Nothobranchius furzeri: one gene and its partner. The protein of the gene in region 2 purifies or fractionates together with the protein of the main gene of each other region. This does not show direct contact. Links are inferred from orthologs where the notes say so. Each region holds a gene or a part of one and is shown on either strand. Other genes may lie near its edges. The genes, in order: picalmb and hip1rb.

Region 1 (10,656 bases), on a different chromosome or scaffold from region 2:
CCCTAATTATGTTATATATATTGTGTTTTTGTGCAAAGTTCACTCGTACCGTTTATGTCCTCCTTCATTGTTTAAATAATTTTAGCATTAGCCTGGTAGAATGAAGTAGACGCGCTCCTTGTCTTGCTTCTCCTGCGTTTAGCTTCACCATGATTGTCTGCTTTAAGCGTGCTGCTGCATGAGATCTGTTGAACATCAGGGCTAAGTGGGCAAACATCAGTATTCCTCATGGGCAGTAGAGGTCAGGGCACATGGCTCCCAACTGGTAATGAGAAAACACTTCCATAACACAAATGTCCTATTTTCACAATTTATTTTAATCCAGAAGAGCTTTTTCCTCCGCTCTGCAAGATGTGGAAATTTGAGTTAAATAATGGTTGTCTGCTGTTGAACTCGTTGAATTTAGACGGTAGTTTTAAAATCGGTCCATTTACACACGTAGCTGGGTTTCTGCTGGACAAACATCCTCTCCCGATTATCTAGGAAAGAAACTTGGGTCCACACCACCTTGTTTACAGCAGAACAATCCAGTGCTTCGTGAAGCATATTCGTAGGCATGCCAGGCCTGTAGGTGGCAGTAGTTCTCCAAATTGTCTGTCTTTGCTGAAAAACATTCCTTGGACATGGAATGACTAGGTGGCAGATAACAGTCTTCAATGTTATCCTTGCCTGTGGTCTTCTTAAAAATCCCTAGAGCTTGTAAAAAATAGCAAGTGTAAACACGGGGTACATATGGGGGCATCAAAGCATGGCAAAAACCAGAAACCATGGTTATTTTCATCCACATTCACTTTTATGTGGATGACGGGCCAAACGTTAGAGAAGTATCTTAAATGGTAAATGGTCTGTATTTGATATAACGCCTTCTAGAGTCCTGGAACCCCTCAAGGTGCTTTACAACACAATCAGTCATTCACCCATTCACACACACATTCACACACTGGTGGGGATGAGCTATGATGTAGCCACAGCTGCCCTGGGGCGCACTGACAGAGGCCGAGCACTGGCGCCACCGGTCCCTCCGACACCACCAGCAGGCAACGTGGGTTATCTTAGTTTTGTGGAATACTCTGCTACGTATGTGCGTGGTCTTAGGGCTGAATACTCGCCTGGCCACAACCCATAGTCAGAGCTCAGTCGAGGGATGGACTCTATGGTTGTCCATCAAACGGTCTCCACACTCCATTGGACAGCGCCAAGACCAGTCAGAGCAACAAACAACATAACGTATTCATAGCGATAGAAATCAGAGGTTAAAGAAGTACCTCTGTTTGGTATCGGCAAATGGGAATTGCCTCATATGAAATCCAAACATCCCGACTAGGGTTGTCACGGTGTGAAAATTTAACCTCATGGTTATTGTGACCAAAATGATCATGGTTTTCGGTATTATCGCAGTATTTTTTTAAACGTTACATTTTCAAAATAAACCCTGTAAATCAGGAAAATATTGTCCTCAGTTAGTGTCTAAATTTTGCCTAAAATTTGTTATTTTGTAATTATGTTTATTTGTTTACATTTTTCCCCTTTAGTCTTTAAAATACCAATATTTGCCCATAACTTATTTTTTGTCTGTTGTCAACATTTTAAAAATATTAGATCAGATGATACTCTGTACTCAAGTAGCCTTCTAGTCAGATACTTTTTTTTTACCCATACTGGAGTACTAAACCCTATATCAGGAAAATATCGTCCTCGGTTTGTGTCCTTCCAGTGAGCTTTGCAGATGTGGGGAAATGTCATCAGGCAGTAATCATTGTTAAATTCATAATTATTCTCGGAGAGACCAACTCTTATCTGCCCCTGGGAGCCCCGTAATGCATAGCGTCATTTCAACATGGCGGTGTCCGTGACACGGTTTATATGCAGGTAGCGGCGCTGCGGCTGCTTTATATAGCGACTCGTTGCATTCTCCCTCAACCCAAATCCTCGGATCAAGCATTTTAGCTAAAACGCTAATGTTAGCTTGCCTTGCGTTGACTGTAGAGTTGTGGGTGATGGTCACGCAGATGTGTCATGAGATTTGAAGCGTTGCTGCCTTTCACAGACACTTTTTCTGCACGTGCTGCAAACAGGATAGCCGTCTTCTATCAGCTGTCCCTCGACATTCTTCAAATATCTAAAAGATGCCCGTACTTCCCACTTTGTCTTCTTTGAGGGATAATAAATGTCCTCCTGAGCGCTGCCGTCTCCTCCTTTGACCATTATTTCATCTTTAGCTTCAAGAAAGTTTTGGTTGTAAACAAAGTGCACATGTGCCTTTGGCAACTTCAGCAGATGATACGGTGGCTGGTAAGGGTCACCGCGACTACACCACAGCCACGGTAATCCACCGAGATAATATAGTTTTTTAAAAACAAGATGGTTATTATTATTGTCAACTTTTTTACCAGGGTTTACCGCTACACCGGTTACCATGACAACCCTAATCCCGACTCATCTTTTGTATGAATTGGAGCGATCCATATCTTGCTGATTGAGTTTGCATCTACCGCTCTTCTTTTATTATTAAACAGTTTGGTGTTGCTTTGTAAAGATACCATAGAGCTTTAAGTTTGTGTCTGTTGTAACACTATTTTTGATTCTCCAGATTGTTACAATCCCTTTTTTGACTCAAACTCATCAGTTTCAGCCAATTACAAACGCACAGTGCGGATAGAATCGTCCGTCTCAGGTACTTTGTTGGATCACCACCTCAGCCTGTCTTTCCTAAAAACATCAAACCTACCATGATCCCCAATGCCATTATTTTTAAGTTTTATTGTAGAGTAAAAGTATTATAAAGGAAGAGTTTTGCACTTTTGGGAATAAAACAACCAATTTTCTCTGTAGAATACGGTTAAGTACTCGCATACCTCGTTTTCTGCTTCATTTGATCCACTTTGATTCTTTTATTTGAAAATGACTGGAGCCAAAATAAGGTTTTATTTGGGTAAAGCAAGAAAAAGGGTGATTTTTACAATATGCACTTCAAATGCTTTTGTAATAGGGATGTCCCGTCTGAAATAGGTCCAATATCGGCCAAAAAACACTCCGATTTTATCGGAATGCATCAAAAATCTCCGATATGAGTTGTCTATTCCGCTTTAAATGTAATTCTAGCAATTCTAACCAGCAGATGCAGCATGCAAAGCCTGCATGATCAGAACCGTGCACGCTAGCAAAGTAGCAAGGAACAAGAACGATGTTGGCCATATGGCAGTATTTCGGTATCGGAAGTGAAAAAGTTGTTTTGGGACATTCCTACTTTGTAATCCTGGGTAGTTTTGTTGGATGTTTGAAAACGGGATGCTCGATCCTCTTGAGTAAAAATACTAGAAATGCACAAATGTGTGATGAATTAGAGGACGTGTTGGGTCGTGTTTTCCCCCAAAAGTTTCAGAATTTAGAAAATGTCGGTTTTAGATCTTTTGTTTATGTAGATTTTAGAGCTGGGCAATACATCGAAAATGTATCGTTATCGGACTTATCGTGATGATTTTTCCCATTTCAATAAATTTGATAAAAAAATGAAAAGGTGTGTGTAGGTTGGCAATATTCATGTCCCTTTAAGAAGCTGTACCACCTCGAGTCACGTAAAATGTGACAGCCCCATCTAGTGGACAACTTTTGTTTCTGCACACACCTTTAGTTACCGTCAATTTATCGTTATCGAGGTGAAATCCTCAATATATCGTGATATTGATTTTCGGCCACATCGCCCAGCCCTAGTAGATTTGTTTCAATGCAGTTTATTTATACTTTTACATTTAAAGTGACACAAAATGTCTTGATGTATGTGAAGCCGTATTCACACCTCGTATAAAAAGAGCTAAAGACATGAAGTCCTAAGTCGTATCTAATGATCAGAAATAATCACTAAAAACAGAAATTCCCAAAATGTAAAACTGCACCTTTAACCCTTTCCCCCTTGGTCCATTATTATTATTATTATTATTATGATTATTATTATTATTATTATCATCATCGTTTGGTGTTTTGCTGTTCTGGTCATTTACCTAATCCCTAAACTAGACGGAGGTGTGGACCTGTTAGCATCTTCCTGTCTGCTGTCGTTTCTCACCTGTCTCTCTGACTTGACCTTGAAGCACCTTCTTCCTTTGTTTCCTCTTCTTTGTCTTCCTGCTTCGTGTCAGACTCCTTCTGTGGTCCAGTGTCGGTTGCTCAGCACCTCCCACACCAGGCCCCCTTCCCCGCTGAGCCCTCTGCTGTAGCAGGTCTGTTCAGAGGTAGTGTATAGAAGGCTCTTCGGCTCCCGCAGCAGCAGATAAACGCTCGTTTCAGCAACCCTGCTTCTCTGCTGTCTTGTGATTTTTATGTTTGGGAATCCAGTCCGAATGTAACTTTGTAACCGGAGCTTCTTGGTTTCATCCTGAAGGATACTCAACGCCACAGGCTCCTCCACAGCACTCAGCAGGAGGACTTCAAGTGGACTTTGAGTCTGTTTTTGGAAACAAAGCCGCCGGCAGCAGTAGCCTCAACTCTGATGGTGAGGATTCAAACACCCGAGGTTCTGTTTCTCTCCATCGGGTTTGAGCTGCAGCCGTAAGACTGTGAAGTGGAGGTTTTCTGATTGTTTAATAGTCTCAATAGAATAATCGCACAGCAAAGATAAAATTCCAGTTTTAACTTGGAATCGCTCAGATTGGTAGGTTTACAGGCGTTAGTCAGACGTTTTTATATCTGCTGTCTCACAAGAGACATAATTGGTCATTTTTATACTGTACTGTTGCAGCAATGCAAGTTTTTGTATTATTATTTTTTTTTTTTGCAGTTTAGTCACTTAATGTTTAACCTCAAGAGAACCAGCGCCCACAAACGCAGAAGCTTTATTTTTGCTTCATATAATCTCGCGTTCAGATTACCTTTGAGCTGTTTTCACCCAGCTTGTCCTGGGTTGATGCAGGAGACTCCTGCTGGCAGGACGAGCATGAGACACCTCCCCTGGGTGAGGTGCTCAGGCATCCAGGAGTAGATCTCCTGCTCCTGTTGAACTGGAGGAGCAGCTCTACCCTTCAATCCCTACCGGATGTCTGAGCTCCTCACCCTTTAAAGACTAAACCAGACGCCGTGCTCCGTAAACTCATTTTGGCTGCTTGGATTAGCGATCTCGTTCGTTTGGTCTTTACCCAAAGCTCACGACCGTAGATGAGGATTGGAGTTTCCGGATTAGCTTCCTCTTCAGTACAACCGCTGCTCCAGTCCACCTTTTGATCTCCTGCTTCCTCCCTCATTCCCAGAGATACGAAAGCCCTCCACGTAAGGGCCTCTCCCTCTCGAGTCCCCAGAATCAGGTGATTTAATCACCTGCTCACGTTCTGCAGAAGCCTGTTGATGACTTAACCGTTTAAATCGGCCACGTCGGGGCAGGGAACGAGAAGTCTGCCTTTGCTGCTCGTTTTCAGTTTTAAGACGAGTTGTTTTCTAAAGAGCAAACTATCGATTTACAAGAACTTAAAACACAAATATCCAATTATTTCTGACAGATTAAAGGCTCGCTACTTTAGATCGGAGTCTAATTGTTCTGATTTTAATTATTTTGTCAGATCTTGCTGGAGGCATCCTGAAACCGACTCTAGCTGGCTCCAACCAGCTGTCCAATCAGCAGCCTGAGAAGCTGGTGTCGGATGACCTCGACTCCTCTCTGGCCAACCTTGTTGGCAGTGAGTGTTTGTTTTATTATTATTATCTGAACTAATTAACACACACACACACTTACGTTAAGGCTAAAACACTTGTCAAGCTGACACCCTCTTGATGAATGTTTTTCTTCTGTTTAGACCTCGGCATCGGGAACGGCACCATGAAGAAGTAAGTGATGCTTCCTGGTGTGTTTGTGTCTCTCTGAGCCGCCGCTAACGCCAGCTGTGTTGATCCACAGTGACATCCACTGGAGCCAGCCGGGGGAGAAGAGGATGACTGGCGGCACCAACTGGCAGCCCAAGGCGGCGCCGACCACAACCTGGAACCCCGTCTCCATGGTGACTCTTACACACGCACGCACACACACACACACACACACACACACACACCACTGTTGTGCTCATCCTCTCAGCTGCTGCAGTTCTCCTGTTGTTCTCTGGTTTCAGTAATTCTGCATCAGAACCTCCGATCATCTCCTAAACATCTTACCGAGATTAATTTAGTATTAATTTATAAACCCTTGGGTTCGAGAAAACGTTTGAAGCTATTAAAATAGGAAATTTGGAAAAGAAATTAGGACAAGAAAAACTAAATTATTTACTTTGAAAAGAAATTAATAAATGGCAGAATTGAGAGTGTAAACAGTTTTAGGTTTGTGTAATATAATTAAAATAATATTAACAAGTAGGGCTGCACGATATTGGGAAAACCTGCGATATTCGATAACAGTGCTTAATATTGCGATATCGATATTACTCACGATAAATGAACAAATACTAAAGTATGCAGTGTTGATGTCGTCTGGCGTGTGACGTCTGCTCTGGGTTCAAAGCAAACAAAAACTAATGCATGAATTCCATTACAACATAACATTTTTATTGCAAAAATATGCAGCTGCACCTGCTACTGTATTAGCAGCAAAACAACAAACTGCATGCATGCAGTTTCTCAGTGAATTTAAAACATCACCTCCACCATAAAACCTTTTCTGATGCTCCAAATACAGAAAAACATCCCTTACCAGGGTTTTTGAATAAATAAAAAAAAAATCTGTAAATAAGTTTAAATGTTAAATAATAGTTAACATCACTTAGATGCAACAGCAAATTCTCTCATTGCTACTGAGCATTTTCTCCACTTATGTGGTTATGATATAAGGCTGTTGCTGTAATTGGGAAGTGAACTGTGCCGGGCCAAACTAGGAGAATATTAAGATTTTTTGAGGGAAAGAGAAAAACAATTGTCTACCTTTCAGAAGATTAACTGGCAAAAAACTACATGGAAAATATGTGAAAACGTTTGTCTTTAACCCCAAACTGAACAAGTTTACCTAGATCTTAGAAAGCAGCTCAGATGATGAAACTGCTACTATGATTCTGATAACAAGCTAACAAATTGAACTAGCTCCTCTAAAGATAACCGGCTAGCAGAGCTTCTGACTGACAGTTTATGTGCAGCAGCAAATCAACTATCCTGATTAACAAGGTTATAAAAGCTCATAAAGGAAAAATCACTTTGATGTGTGGGGGAACTTTTCCAGGCCCTCTTTAGCAGCTCAGGGTGGGACTGGGAGGAGAGTGCTGTAGCCTTTTAGCTGGAAGCTAACCGGAGTCTGGGGCTAACGGTGGGTTGGTTCACCGGCACGTGTCGGAGTCAGCCCGGTTATTATCAGCTGCTTAACGACACCGAGCGGACTCACGTTCACGTTTGAAAGCAGCGCTGATTCCAGAAACCTCAGCACAAAGTGCGTTCGTTTATCTGAGCCTGCATGACGAACGAGCTGCAGCGGAAAGCGGGGGTGGAGCGGAGATGGTGGAATTTTTGGGTAAGGGTCTACGTAGGGGGCGGGCGTATTACGTGAATGGACCCATCTGATTGGCCGCATATCAGAAGGACTACATTTGATTGGTCAAATAATACTTCTGTGTAAAAAACAGAGCTGGTTTACAAAAAGCTGATGTATGACAGGGATGGAAATGTTGAACCAAACATTTATCGCCGTTTTTGACGCGCTTTGCGATGGGCCTATCGCACGTCCCGTTATCGCCATGACGATAATTTTTCGATATATTGTGCAGCCCTATTAACAAGGAAGTTGGTCTTACAGCATTTAGATTTTCATATTATAGCAATTTATCAAATGTACAGTGATCCAACTTATAGCTTTTTCTATAAAACACGTTTTTATATTTCAGCCTCCATCAATCATGGCCTTTCCTGCCACCACACCTACAGGCATGATGGGATACAGCATGGTGAGTGTGAGTGTGGATGTGTTTGCACCCGTCAGGCGGACGCCTGTGAACACGGGGTATCCACTGGGTCTTAAAGTATTAGAAGTTGCCAAGTAGATTTAGGGAAAGTTGCGACTCTTTTAAAGTCTTATTAATGTAGTCGAGTCTTAAATTAGGTTGTTGCTGTGGATTTAAATGTGTTTGTGTCATACTCGCAAACTTTCAGTGAAAATCAGTTTTTGATGTTTATGTGGGTCGAAGAGGTTTTGTTTTGGGGGGGGGGGGGGGGGCCTTTATAAGAATGGGTTTTCAGAGAGAGGAGGGGCGTTCATCTTGTTCACAAACCATCTTTGTTGTAACAGGTTACGAGTCGTCTTTTGACCAATCGTAGTCATGGAGACGGCATGTGGAATGTCCTTAAGATGCAGCCGTAGCACGGCGCTAACAGCGCTTCAACATCTCGCAGCGGTTGGAGCGTGAAGTTAGTCAAAAACCAAACTGCTGTTTTCTGTCGGGGACTTTAGTGGGTTTCAGCCTTTACAGACGCTTGCTGTGGCTCGTCATGTGATTTTAATATAATCCGATTAAAGTTGCGTAACCTGACCAGGTTAAGTAACAGCAGGATCGTAGGATTTGTTTGAGCACACTGATGGTTCATAAACGATTTGGTGCTTTACCACCTAGTGGTCACTTAGCGTTACTCTCAGGGGGCACTGGGGGGGAGAACTACCACTTAATGAAACCCAAACCAAATTCTAGCCGTTTAATGGTTGAATAAAGACCGATTGGAGCCATTTATAAAATAAAAATATAGATTGGGGATTTTCAAAGGTAGAAATCATAAATGGAGCCAGAGTTTCTGTTTTGTAAACAGGAAGTCTTTAAATCAGATGCTGATGAGTGATGTGATGTGTGTGAAACACCCTGCAGCCTCCACAGATGGGCTCCATGGGGATGATGAATCCACCCACCATGATGTACTCCCAGCCCGCCATGAGGCCACCCAACCCCTTCGGCTCCGTGTCGAGTGCTCAGGTGGGTGCAGGCTGCAGCCGGGTGGCTTTTCCAGTAAAACGGTGTCTCCATTGTCCCGTGTGGTGTGCCCATAGCTAGTCGGTGTGCGCTCTGTCGTCGGTGTGAACACAGACGAAGATGATGACAGTTTTAACAACCAACCCTTCACTCTCTGGAGCTGAAAGCGACAAAACTGGATCATCATCTCTTGTTTTGTCTTTCCGAACGGCTCCTTTTTTTAATAATTAACTCATCTATCATACATCACAGCTTTTCCGAGCTAATCTCATCCCTCCTTCAGTCTCTGATCTGACTCTGACTTGTCCTCTGGTCCTCCCACTTCCTGTATTAGCCCTCTGCAGCCTCTAGTCCTTCCAGCCAGAGTCCTCTCCGAGCCCCTGGACAGGACCCGTTTGCACACCTCTCTCTCAAGGATTTCTTGTAGAGCATCTCTTTAGGTACATCATGCTCTTTGCTTGCAGATGCACCTGCATGTTACTTGTCCTGTGCAGATGTTGTTTTTAATATTTGTGTTTTCATCAGGTCAGATAGCTGCTTTAACCCGCCTTTTGTTGTCGTCTCTGCTGCTTGAACATCACGCTTGTTTTTGAGTGAAACCCATTCTCATTCACCATTCTTCCTCCTTTGTGACTCATTGCTGTTTGTCTGTTCGCCGAGCTTTGTTCCATCGGAGTTAATATTTAATCATAACTTCCAAATAATCGCTGCCAGTCTATTAAACTATTTATTCATAAAAACAAAATTCATTTCCCAAGTTTGCGACCAACTGCTCCAACATCCAGATAATCCCTGCAAGCTCTGAAGCACACGCTGGTTTTCATTTAAATCTAAATTATATTTGATTTTATTGAAAATCAATTTTTTATTGCAAACTTGATCTGAAAACTTAAAGCTCTTAAGAAAACTAATAACAAGTAAATGTGCAAATGTCTCTGAATGCCGAGAATTCGGCCACGAACGACACTTTGGTGTTTTGTCTAAATTCAACCTCGATTTGTTCGGTTCCTTTCAAGAAAATCAGATTTTTATCTCAGAAACATTTGATTCTATAGTTGAAGATGCTGACAATAAAAGTTCAAAATACTTTTTTTTTGTGAAATATTATAAAGTCGTATCTAAAGACGAGGAACGGCCCAAAAATGTAGTCCGGAAAATGATCAAATGTAATAAAATCTCTAGTAATAAAACGGTTTTATTTCACGAACATGTTTTTTTTTTTATTCTGCTGCTTCCATGTTTGCTCATAAAAGAGAATTTTTACCACCAGACCACCTCTGCACACCGTTTGTGTGAACACGCGTCCCGTTTCAGCCGTTAAAAGCAGAACAAACGTTTTGAATCGCCTCTTTCTGACATCGTTTGTTGCTTCTTTTCTCTTTCAGATGCAGTTCATGTAATTTGAATGAAGTGTCTCAGAAGATGAAGCACTTAGCAGCAAAACGTTGTCCCCGTTGCAGTCTAACTCTTCAGAGAAGCATCCACACACACACACACACACACCCTCAAATACAAGACACGCCAACAACACAATGGTGCACAGACTGTCCAAAACCATGGTAACCATGTCCAAATGACGTATTGGCGATAGCTCACACCCTTTTCTCTGTAATCGAAGCGAAGAGCGACGATGCTTCTGAACCCCTCCGCCCCTTCGGAAGGACCTCTGATCCGTTTTACGGTGTACTCTGTAACGATCGTTTGGGTGCTGAGAAATTTCAGTGTTGTGTATTTGAAGAAGCTGCGG
Region 2 (11,100 bases):
GATCGTCAGGCAGATTGGTGCCGAGTCTGCACTGATGTGGGCGTTGTACCGATCTGTCGTAGTGAAGAGAAAACTGAACCGGAAGGCAAAGCTCGATTTATTGGTCGAGCTATGTTCCTACCCTCACCTATGGTCACGAGCTTTGGGTGGTGACCAAAAGAACGAGATATTGGACACAAGCGGTCAAAATGAGTTTTCTCCGCAGAGTGGCTGGGCTCTCCCTTAGAGATAGGGTGAGAAGCTCTGTCATTCAGGAGGGGCTCGGAGTAGATCTGCTGCTCCACCTCACCGAGAGAGCCAGTTGAGGTGGCTCAGGCTTCTGGTCAGGATGCCTCTTGGACGCCTGCCTGGTGAGGTTTTCCAGGCACGTCCAACTGGGAGGTGGCCCCAAGGGAATACTCAGGACACGCCTGAGAGACTATGTCTCTTGGCTGGCCAGGGAACACCTTGGGATTCCCCCGGAGGAGCTGGCCCAAGTGGCTGGGGAGACGGAAGTCTGGGCCTCTCGACTTGGGCTACTGCCCCCGCGACCCGACTCCGGATAAGTGGCTGAAAATGGATGGTTAATTAGCGACTTGGTCTAGTTTGAACTCTGCTTTGTTTTTGATTTTTACTGGTAAGGAAATGCCTGTACTCATTACAGCGATTTCCTCCTATTTAGCGGTAATGACATCTTCCTCCTGCATCTGCAGGGTGGAGGCTCAGAACTAAATTTGCAGCATGTTGAGGATAAATATAGGTCACAACCTTGGTTAAGGATTTAAATTTTCGAGTAAAAATGTAAAAACTGAGAGTGACCTGGTGTTTCTTTTTCCTCAGCAGAGCTGTTTTAGGATTGGGTTGGTTTAAATATTGCAATGAGCCCACATTAATTATCCATGGAGGTTTGGACACTTTTGTGAGAACACCGTTGACCTGCACAAAAACGTTTAAAAACAAAAGACTGAAAACTCTTAAGACACCTAAATGTGGCATTTTTTTTCCCATTTTTGATTATTTTCCTACAGTGTTGCGGCAATTGAACTCGTCCATCGCCGTTAGCAGTCTTACATCAGGTCAGTGCCGCCTGGCTCCCCTCATCCAGGTCATTCAAGACTCCAGCCAGCTCTACCACTTCACAGTCAAGCTGCTGTTCAAGCTGCATGCCTGTAAGAATACCCGTCATCCCCAAATAACGCTTCATGGAAGTGGAATCTTTGTTTATCTGTGTCTCAAATTTGCCTGATCATTTCAGGTCTCCCTGCTGATACCCTACAAGGTCATCGCGATCGTTTCCGCGAGCAGTTCAACAGGTAAGCCACTCCTTTAGAATCATTACATCAAAGTTTTAATTTAAGCCAAAAATATGCAATCCTGGATGATCCTCTACCCAGTAACCACGGCACCAATCACACGCCCCACCTTCTGTCATGGTGTTACAGTCGCATACTTTTTCTGTTGTGCCTTTTGGGTTCAGTGAAAGTCCTTCGAGGGTAATTTGTCCCACACTGAACAGCTGTGATTGTGACATTTTTTATATAGTTTGCTTTAACCTACCTCATTTATGAACAGCGGTGCCTCAAAGGGGTGGCCAAATATGCCCCCCCCCCCCCCCCCCGCAAAATCTTTGGCCAACCCCCTTAATAAATCACAATCATCTTTAATCAAATAAATGTTAAAGGGAAAAAAATACACTTATTTAATTTAATTTTGTTTAATCAATCACAATTTAGATATATAAAAATGTCACTGATGCTCACCATTTTCAAAAAAGAAGTCCCAATATCTTTTATGGATTTTTTTTTTTTTTTGAGACAATTAAAGTAAACTTATAAAATTTAAAACTTTGGAGAAAAAATTCATGGAAATAACTGTATGAAGTGTCGTCCATTTCCCCCCTAAGTGTTTACGGTAAATGTGTTGGATGTAATTGTTTTTTTTTAAATGAAAAATAATGAAAGAGCAACACTGCACAGCTACAAGCCAACTCTACCAGAGTTGCCAAGGGGACCAACTTGGTGTGCCTTCCTAAAAATGTCACTGGCCCCCCTATGAAAATGTTTTTGGTGCACCACTGATTATGAAAGATTATACCTAAATGATGCATATCAGCGACAGAAGCCTGTGTATTTTGTGCATTAACATGAGGTGACTAATGGATGTTTTCCTTTATTCACAGTCTTAAGAACTTCTTTAACAGAACCAGAGAGATGGTGTTCTTTAAGAGACTGATCCAGATTCCCAGGCTGCCTGATGTAAGTGCTGCTGAGTCAGGTCCTCATTCTTTTCACCTGATGCAGCTACTTTATTTCTTGCAAGCGTATTATTTATAAAGTCACCTATTTTTTGCTGAGTTTTAATTAAACCGTGTTTGTGAGTAAAAAGTAATGTTCAGCTTTATTTTCCACCAGCTCTGAATGGTACTAATACCTTGTCCTTCTGCCATCAGTCTCCGCCTAACTTCCTGCACGCAGCCTCCCTGGCCAAACACGTCAAGCCGGTGGTGGTCATCCCTGATGATGACGAACCAGAACAAGATGAAGATGATGAACCAGAGCCGCTCGTTGAAGTCAGTCACACCTCAGCATCTAATGTTCAGACACAGCCACAGGTATGGGAACCCAGTCACAGATGTTTTCAACAGTTTTTTTTTCTTTAACCTTTTTTCTAATCTATTTTTCTTATTCAGCAAATGGACATATTCGATCAGACATTTGGACCTCCAAATGGCGGCTTTGATGAAAGGTGAGCCACATTTGTTTTCTTTCCCTCTGCATGGTTTGGCTTTTGAGTGTTGATGGTGGGTTTGCTGTCCAACAGGGATCTGCAGATCGAGTGCCTGAAGACGGAGCTTGAAATGTTGAGAGCGGACCTGGAGAGGATGAAATCAGAGGTAAGATTTGCTGAGTAGCCTGGTGCTTGAGAGTCAGCCTTCTTTTCCCTTGTTTGTGTGACAATAAAAGGCACAGTGATCTATGTGCACAGGAATCTGGGTCATGCTGCTTCTGAGCATGTAGAATGTACCAAGTAATCTCTAAAAGGAGTTACACAAGTCCTCTTGAGAAGTTTAGTTTGAATTGAAATGATTTAAATTTCATGACTATGTTTCTGCTACATAATAAAAAATTCCCACTTTAAGTCTTTACTGCGTCTAAATTGCATTTTGTGTTGCAAAAGGCTCAACGCTATGTCACGCAGCTCAAATCCCAAATCAACAGTTTGGAGGCCGAATTGGATGAGCAGCGCGTGCAGAAACAGCGTGCTCTTGTGGAAAACGAGCAGCTGCGCATGGAGCTGGACACAACGCACCTTCGAATTGCAGAACACGAGAGCTTACAGATCACCTTCATCGAGGCGGAGAGTAAGTTGTGCCTTGAAATCCCATTTTGACCAGAAATTGCTGTGATCACAAGCATGATTACACGTTTGTTATCTTCGTTTGTTCAGAAAAGGCTCAGGCCACCGAGCAGCGTTACAACAAGCTGAAAGAGAAGCACACCGAACTGGTGGCCAGCCACGCTGAGCTGCTCCGCAGGGTATAGGCTCCAGACCAGTTAAGGTGTATCTGCTTTCAATTACACGTCAGCACCTGGCCTGAAATGTGTTAATGTGCTAACAGAGTGCAGACACTGTGAAGATGCTGTCGGTAACCCAGCAGACCCAGGAGGAAGTGGAGAGGACCAAACACCAGCTGTCCTTTGAGGTGGAACGGATCAAACAGGAGTCAGAGATGAAGGTTGGTTTGGGTTTTTAGGGACTTTATGGATGTAGATGATGGAATTTTTTTAAAACTAAGTAATGTTTCTATAGTTAGAAGAGCAGAGGTTTGAGGTGGAGCGAGTGAGAAGAGAGCTGCAGGAGAAGATGGCAGAAGTGATGCATATCAAAGCAAATCTGCAAAGCAGTGAAAAGGTGAGCGTGCATCTGGGGTTGCTTCATTGATTTAGTAATCAGAGGTTTCATCGTCCCTGCTCAAGGCGAGAGCCGTTTCCGGATGGACATCTCCGTCTCAGCCATCTGCCCTTTCTGGCAACTCTCATTGCTCTTTTTCTTTTACTTTGACAGACGTCGGAGCAAATGAGCAGCTCAATGACAGCTCTGCAAGCGGAGAAGGAGCGTCTGATGCGATCTGTGAGTGAGAAGGAGGCGGAGCTGTCGTCTCTGCGGCAGGCGTCGCAGCTGCAGCAGTCGTCACTTCAGCAGGAGCGAGAGAGGAGCAGCAGGGAGCTGGGAGAGCTGCAGGGCAAGCTGAAGGAGAAGGTCAGTCAGGACGGTGGAGCCTGAACACTCTGCAGTGCAGACATTTGTCTTCTCGCAGCAGCATTTTTGATTGCTTTATTAAAAGCACATTGAATCATAAATTTTGGTTTTGAACAAGTTGTTTTTATGTTTAGATGTTTATTTTACGCAAAGATAAGTTAATTTTCCGACTAAGGATGAACAAAGGGATGCTTGATGGGTTTTTTAAAATACTAGTTCATTCAGCCATCTTATTCTGCCATGATAAAAGCTCTAAAGAGCTCTTCAGATCACAAAAACAGGCCTGTGAATGAAGTCTTTAACAGAAGGGTCAATAGCTGGAAAGGGGCCATATAGAAGTTGTCCACATGTAGCATCCATAACTGGCAACCGCTTAACTCATTCACTGCCATTGACAACTAAAGTCGTCATTTTAAACCCAACCGTTCACTGCCAATGACGATTAAAGTCGTCATATGCATTTTTTTTACTGTGTGGGCATCGGAACGAGCCCCCACACTGTGAGAAAAAACATCTTAGCTCTTCTTTAAAAAACTGTAAAAACAGTGAGGAACGCTGGCATCAAATGAGTTAAAAAGGATGAAGGAGACGGGCTGTAAAGCAGGATGTGGGTGAATTTGTATATCTGGACTTTTGTTGTTACAGCACAAGCTTAGAAATGAATCATAAACATATGAGTGACATCTTTTCATCTAACACGATCATGGGATGTTGCCGTATTAGACGGACTTTTACTTTGTATTTCAGACTGAAGAATTTCAAGTCCAATGCTTTTTTTCCTATGGGGTTTGAGCCGGTTAGGAAATGTCAGTGAAAATCTTCTGTTCCGTGTTATTCCCAAAACAGTCGTGTCCAAAACATCAGCTGACATTGTTCACTTTTTGTTTGTCAAACATTACCTGTTACAATAAAGTTGGAAATATGCAGAATTACTGTTGTGACAGTCCAGAGAAGAGTTACAGATTTTTTTTACTGTTCTGAACATATTATTTGTAATAATTAGAAAATTCTTGAAAAAATATTTGAAAGGCCTGCCAGCCTGCACAGTTAAACGTTTTTTGCAATTTTTTTCCTAACAAGGTTGCCACGGTAACTCGAAACACTTTGAAAAGCTATGTTTGGATGAGCACCCCAAAACCATATTGAGTCACCCCAAAATAGTTATTATTATACTCATTATCATTATTAATAGTAATAATCTAAAATGCTTTTAATGTGAGGATTGTGTATTCGTAGCTGGGTGGGTATCATTAAATGCTTGGATACATGCATATGCAGTCTAGCGTTGGAACAATTATGTAATCATGCCTGTTTATGTGTTCTGTTTTGTTTGTTTTAAACAGACGAGCCAAGAAGAGCAGATGAAGAAGAAGCTTCTGGAAGAGCAGTTTGCTTTGCTGCAGGGAGCCATAGCAGAAGCTGAAAACATCATCCAGGATGCTGCTGCCAAGCTGGATGATCCTCTCCACATACGCTGCACCAGCTCTCCGGGTCAGACCACCTCTGATGTTTCAAACTGAAATAAACCCATTACCAACAGATGAAATTAAAAAGAGAACACAAACTGATCTTTATTTCACATGGCTATGTGTTTGATTTAACTTTTTAATGTAACGCTCTGGCTCTCGTTCAAACAGATTACCTCATAAACCGGGCAGAGGCCACGCTGAGCTCCATCGACAAAGTGAAAAAGGGCCATGCAGATTATCTGCATAACATGTTTGGTGAGTTTCTCTAATTTCTAATTTAACTTGACCTCGAAACACTGTGTTCTAAATTCATCTGGTTTTCTAAAGATGCTTCTTTCTTCCTTTCTTCTTGTAACCAGATGCTGGAGGACTGCTGAGAGCTCTGACCCAGTTCTCTCACTTGGCTGCGGACACAATCGTTAACGGCAGCGCTACCGCACACATGGCACCCACTGATCACGCAGATAGTAAGAAGAATATCAATTTCCCTTTTATTACTTGTGCATTCTCCACGGCATTTATTAACAGAGAAAACAAATATTAGTTTACTAATAACACTCTCAGATCCATAGAAACAATTTTGGATACAAGGTTGTTTCTGAACAGAAAATGCAGAAGTGTGAGCATTTGATGCCCTACAGGACTGACGGAAAATTGCAGAAGCTGTGCCACACAGAGTCTTGATTACCTGAAGGATTTGAAGTCCAAGGACACCCTCCAGAAGGCAGATCCAGCTTCTGTTCGCATAATCGTACAGAAGATCCTGCATTTGGGTCAGGTGAGAGAAATCTGAACAGACCTGCAGGTTTTTGTGGTGCAGTGTGACATTTGAGTCTAATTTATAGAAGTTTGGTGGCAGAATGCATCACTGCTAAATGTTTCAGTCCGAGGAATCCTCAGGAATCTGCTGCAAAAAAGACCAACTGTGCGTTATATTTAACTCACCTTTTGAGAGTTTCTGCAACTTCTGGTTTGCTTTAAAAACACACTCCAGCAATCCAGCTGCTGTCCAGACAAAGAAACCCATCCATATCCCCATAAATCCACTCATCCATTATAATCATAAAAAAAATGAAGTGAAATAAAGGGAGAAAAGGAAAATGTAAAGAATGAAAACTATAAAACAGTATAAGTCTGTGCAAAGTTATGCATTTTAAAGGTTCTATGGGGGAAAATGAGCTTCAAAAATTGTGCAAAGATGCAAAAAATAGTGCAGGGTTGTGATAGAAACAATACAGCAAGAGCCACAATATTTGCTCCAATCAGCTGTTTAGGAGTCTGATAGCAGATGGCGCAGTTTACACATCTCACACTTCTTACCTCTGGCATTAACTGTGTATTTTAGGTAAACTAATCAAACAATGAAATGGAAAAATCAATTTGATTTCTCTAGGAGCTGCGGCCTAAAGGAATGGACATCCGTCAGGAGGAGCTGGGCGATCTAGTCGATAAGGAAATGGCAGCAACATCAGCAGCTATTGAAGAGGCAGTTCGTAGAATTGACGTGAGCACTCGATGACCTGACACTATACGACCCGTCTGATTAAATGGCCCATGTTTAGTGTATTATTTGTAGATAACTGAAATTTATTATGGTTTGAATCTTTAGGAAATGATGAATCAGGCACGAAAGGATACATCCGGAGTTAAACTGGAGGTCAATGAAAGGTTTGTGCTTTTTAAATTAATTCAAATATTGAGTCAAATATTCCAGATTTTTATAAATATTTAAATCCAAACCCCGTTGCTTCTTGCTCTTTTATTTCAGGATTCTTTTTAGCTGCACAGATCTGATGAAGGTAAAAAAAAACAGCCCCCCCCCCCCCCCTTGCAAACAATGTGGCATCTTTCAATGTGGGTGTTTTTCCTCACTCTGTTTTCTCATCATCGGCTCTCCTTCAGGCTATTCGCATGCTCATCATCGCATCCACGGACCTGCAGAAGGAGATTGTCGAGGGCGGGAGGGTGAGTCAGCGTGTTTCTAATTTTAAATCCAAAGTTAAGCATCAGTTTCTGAATAGGATGTTTGGTTCCTTTTAAAGGAGTTCATCTAACTGTGCTGATGTTTTGCTCTTTAAGGGTGCAGCCAGCATTAAGGAGTTTTACGCTCGAAACTCTCGTTGGACCGAGGGACTCATCTCTGCTGCCAAGGCTGTGGGATGGGGAGCCTCAGAGTTGGTGTAAGTTCCCGTTTGAAAATTTGCATGGCTGTTTATTGTTGCTGCTGCATTCACAGTTGACGGGAAGCATGCAGAGATTAATGTTTTCCTGCTTTCTTGCAGAGACTCTGCTGATAAGGTGGTGCTGCACATGGGTAAATATGAGGAGTTGATCGTCTGCTCTCATGAAATCGCTGCAAGCACGGCTCAGCTGGTGGCTGCCTCAAAGGTAACATGTGAATTATACCTGACAAAAAAAAGTGGTGTACAATCATGAAATGTGATGGATAACACTGTAGTTTATTAAATTGATAGAAAAATTCAAATATTTTTAAGGTGGAATTAATCCACTGTTTTAATGTTTTATCACTTGATTTAGCTACACATCAATTGATTAGAATAATTTAGCATTTTTTAGGGTCAGTTTCAGAAATCAGATAAAATTTGAATCCGAGATGAAGAAGCAACCAAAACCGATTTTATTCTCAGCTGATTGTTGCCTTGGTTCTTTCAGAGGGGATGGTTTGATCATAGTTCATGTTACTTTGACATAAACCTTCCATGCTTTAGTACGAACTTGAATATAAAATTTGTCAAACCAAGGTGAATCTTTTTTCTGTTAAAGTAACAGAACGGTTTCCTGCTTTTCTGCCCTACTGGTTGAAAGTGGAACTACAACTATTGTAAAACACCCTGCAGCAGCCTGCTGTAGCTAGTGCTAACAATGAGCTAACACTAACATTAGCCAACTAATACTAAAATAAACCACGATGTTAGAAGATCCACTTTGTTGGACAAAAAATATTATTCCTTACAAGTCCAGTAGCAACAAAGCTAGGTCACCATCAGTCCGTGATTTCATGGTCTCCTTCAGTTCCTTCAAACAAGTGTAGGCCACGCTGATGTTCACTCTGGTTTTAGCTCTTTGCTTCACCTCCTAAAGCCTGAGTCATGCTTCTGCGTCTGCATCAGTGCGGAGACACGCAACACCATTATCCGTCCTTGCGGGGCTTCTGGAGGATCCCCGAAAGGACGGACTGAGTCGAGCCCTCTTTTCTAAACATCCGTCCGTCGAGATGGAGAACGCAAGCTTGTGATTGGTCAGGGCACCGCTGTCATCTACACCGCCGCCATTGCGCCCTCAAAAACATAGAGAGCCGAGGATAACCAGCGGCAGACACGGAGAAGCTTGAGGAATTCCTCGCGAAAAAATTCTAAAAATACGAATGTTTGATTCCCCCGTGACTGGAGGAGTGAAAAGACGCGCAGCGAGCGTTTTATTTGTGGACAGAAATGACAGGAAACGTGGGTTTAGAGGTGGCGAGCGCATGAAGAGGTGGAGGAGAATGAGACAAATTTGTCTGTGTTAAAAAGTCTCTTATATACAAAAAACACAATATAAACACACTATCTTTGACCGGATACATGACAGTATACCCAGGGACGAAATTTTGATTTCAGAAGTGGGGGGGACACAGCAGGCTTGTGCGGATTTGGGGTGGGGGTGTTATGTAAAGACCCTTTGACACGTCACATGCCCATCTCAATAATTTTTCCATCCTCAATATATATATATATATATATATATCAAAGTTAAAAAATGTACAACTCTATTATCATTAATATTTATTATCATTATTGAAGTGCAGTTTTGGCTGTTGACAATGGATAGGCCATTGTATTTATTGTTTTGGGTCTTTTTTTATTGTTTTTGGTGCAACATTTTCTAACAGGGAGTGAGATTCTTTTTTTTATTTAATTTTTGTTTGTTATTTTTATTCATTTAGAAGTTCTGGTTCTGGACATTTCAATGTTAAATGAAGGTTTATTTGTTGCATTTTAAAGGGTGTACTTGCATTATTATGATATATTAACATTATATTAGTGGTTATTTTGGTCTAGATAATGTTGACAATGATATCGTTTATCATCAACAATTTGTTGGACAAAATATCATCCAGCAAAATGTGTTACTTTCCCAGGCCTAGTCAAAAGTATAAAAAGTATTTATACATAAACGGTCCCTCCTGAGATCTGGCCGTTTGTTCATTTGCTGTGTTAGAGGACATGCTGAACTAATGTTTTACACATGATCATCACCCTAACATTTGTCACAATGATCAATTTTATGTCTATCGTATCTTCATTATTTCAACCTCACCTGTGAGCCTCCAGCCTCTGCTCCATCTCCTCCAGGCTCTCGTCCTCCATCTCCTACAGCCTCTCCTGCTGTACCTTCACCGGTCTCTCCTCCTGCATCTCTGTCAGTCACCTGAAAAAAAGATGCATGAACTATAAACAGTGGGAGATTTTGGAATGGAACAAACAGAAATATTTACAGGATGGTTCTAGTATGATTCACAATTATTATTAATATAATGTGTAAATTATTCATTACCAATTTGAGTGTATAAAAACATATTAAATATGTTTTTTCCCTTAAAAGTGTTTAAACAGTTGTTGCATTTCAACACACAAAAAATAAATGGAAAAAATAAGATAAATCTAATGAAAAGAGTACATCTTTGACATTAAGCTTAAAAAAATCTGTTGACGATGATACTGTTCATTTTTCAGAGCTTTTTAATGTGAACATATACATTGCAATAGATAAGTTTACAATAAAGTTAAATGATAAAAGTTTTGAAGTTACACTTCTACTACTACTAGTAATAATAATCATGATAATAGTAATAATAATAATAAATAATAATAATTATAATAATACGAATAAATTGTGTCTGAGGAGTCAGTTATGTGGAGGAGATGAGTTTGTAAAAGTTAGTTTTGAGTATGTTTGTGAAGGAGGAGGTGAGTCTGAGCTTAATGCAGCGGTGTCACATGTTCCAACTTACGTTTTGACTTTGAAAGAAGTCTCTTATATCCACTTTTCGTTTGTTGACATGCTGCCTCCTGGCTGTGCCTAACTACCAAAGACTCACAAATGAACACTTATTCAAATGTTATGTAATGGAAGCTGAGCTGAGCTCTGATATTACACAGCGTCTAGTTGACGATGTGACTCAGTACCGGTGTTCCCTAGCGGCTCCAAACTAGCAAAACAACGTGAGCACGTTCTGACTGTTTACAACTTGAGTGACAGCAGCATCAGCCAATAATACGTTAGCAAGTATCAGCAGAGCCAATAGATTAGCTTTCGGTCCTAGTGCTCAATCAAATCCATTTAATGGAGCGTAATATTGTTTTTGGACGGAAAAAAGTGAAGGGGACCG

Evidence for each region.
Region 1: the proteins of hip1rb (region 2) and picalmb fractionate together in Homo sapiens (co-fractionation; 3 studies listed by BioGRID and IntAct, with this or other methods). This does not show direct contact. The link is inferred for Nothobranchius furzeri from reciprocal best matches to the Homo sapiens genes HIP1R and PICALM.

What each region holds. Positions count from the first base shown.
Region 1 is NC_091753.1:49,932,928-49,943,583, reverse strand, and holds the end of picalmb (phosphatidylinositol binding clathrin assembly protein b), read left to right. Parts: intron 1-2,590; coding exon 2,591-2,674; intron 2,675-4,136; coding exon 4,137-4,229; intron 4,230-4,378; coding exon 4,379-4,489; intron 4,490-5,546; coding exon 5,547-5,663; intron 5,664-5,780; coding exon 5,781-5,811; coding exon of another isoform or gene 5,812-5,815; intron 5,816-5,881; coding exon 5,882-5,981; intron 5,982-7,838; coding exon 7,839-7,898; intron 7,899-8,807; coding exon 8,808-8,912; intron 8,913-9,243; coding exon 9,244-9,336; 3' UTR 9,337-9,349; intron 9,350-10,294; coding exon of another isoform or gene 10,295-10,309; 3' UTR 10,310-10,516; downstream 10,517-10,656. UniProt on the Homo sapiens protein: Cytoplasmic adapter protein that plays a critical role in clathrin-mediated endocytosis which is important in processes such as internalization of cell receptors, synaptic transmission or removal of apoptotic cells.
Region 2 is NC_091757.1:46,640,269-46,651,368, reverse strand, and holds part of hip1rb (huntingtin interacting protein 1 related b), read left to right. Parts: intron 1-1,007; coding exon 1,008-1,148; intron 1,149-1,234; coding exon 1,235-1,292; intron 1,293-2,158; coding exon 2,159-2,234; intron 2,235-2,428; coding exon 2,429-2,590; intron 2,591-2,668; coding exon 2,669-2,724; intron 2,725-2,799; coding exon 2,800-2,872; intron 2,873-3,156; coding exon 3,157-3,340; intron 3,341-3,426; coding exon 3,427-3,515; intron 3,516-3,598; coding exon 3,599-3,715; intron 3,716-3,789; coding exon 3,790-3,891; intron 3,892-4,044; coding exon 4,045-4,239; intron 4,240-5,582; coding exon 5,583-5,730; intron 5,731-5,876; coding exon 5,877-5,963; intron 5,964-6,067; coding exon 6,068-6,175; intron 6,176-6,349; coding exon 6,350-6,486; intron 6,487-7,101; coding exon 7,102-7,212; intron 7,213-7,317; coding exon 7,318-7,376; intron 7,377-7,476; coding exon 7,477-7,507; intron 7,508-7,610; coding exon 7,611-7,673; intron 7,674-7,787; coding exon 7,788-7,888; and 3 more. UniProt on the Homo sapiens protein: Component of clathrin-coated pits and vesicles, that may link the endocytic machinery to the actin cytoskeleton. Binds 3-phosphoinositides (via ENTH domain).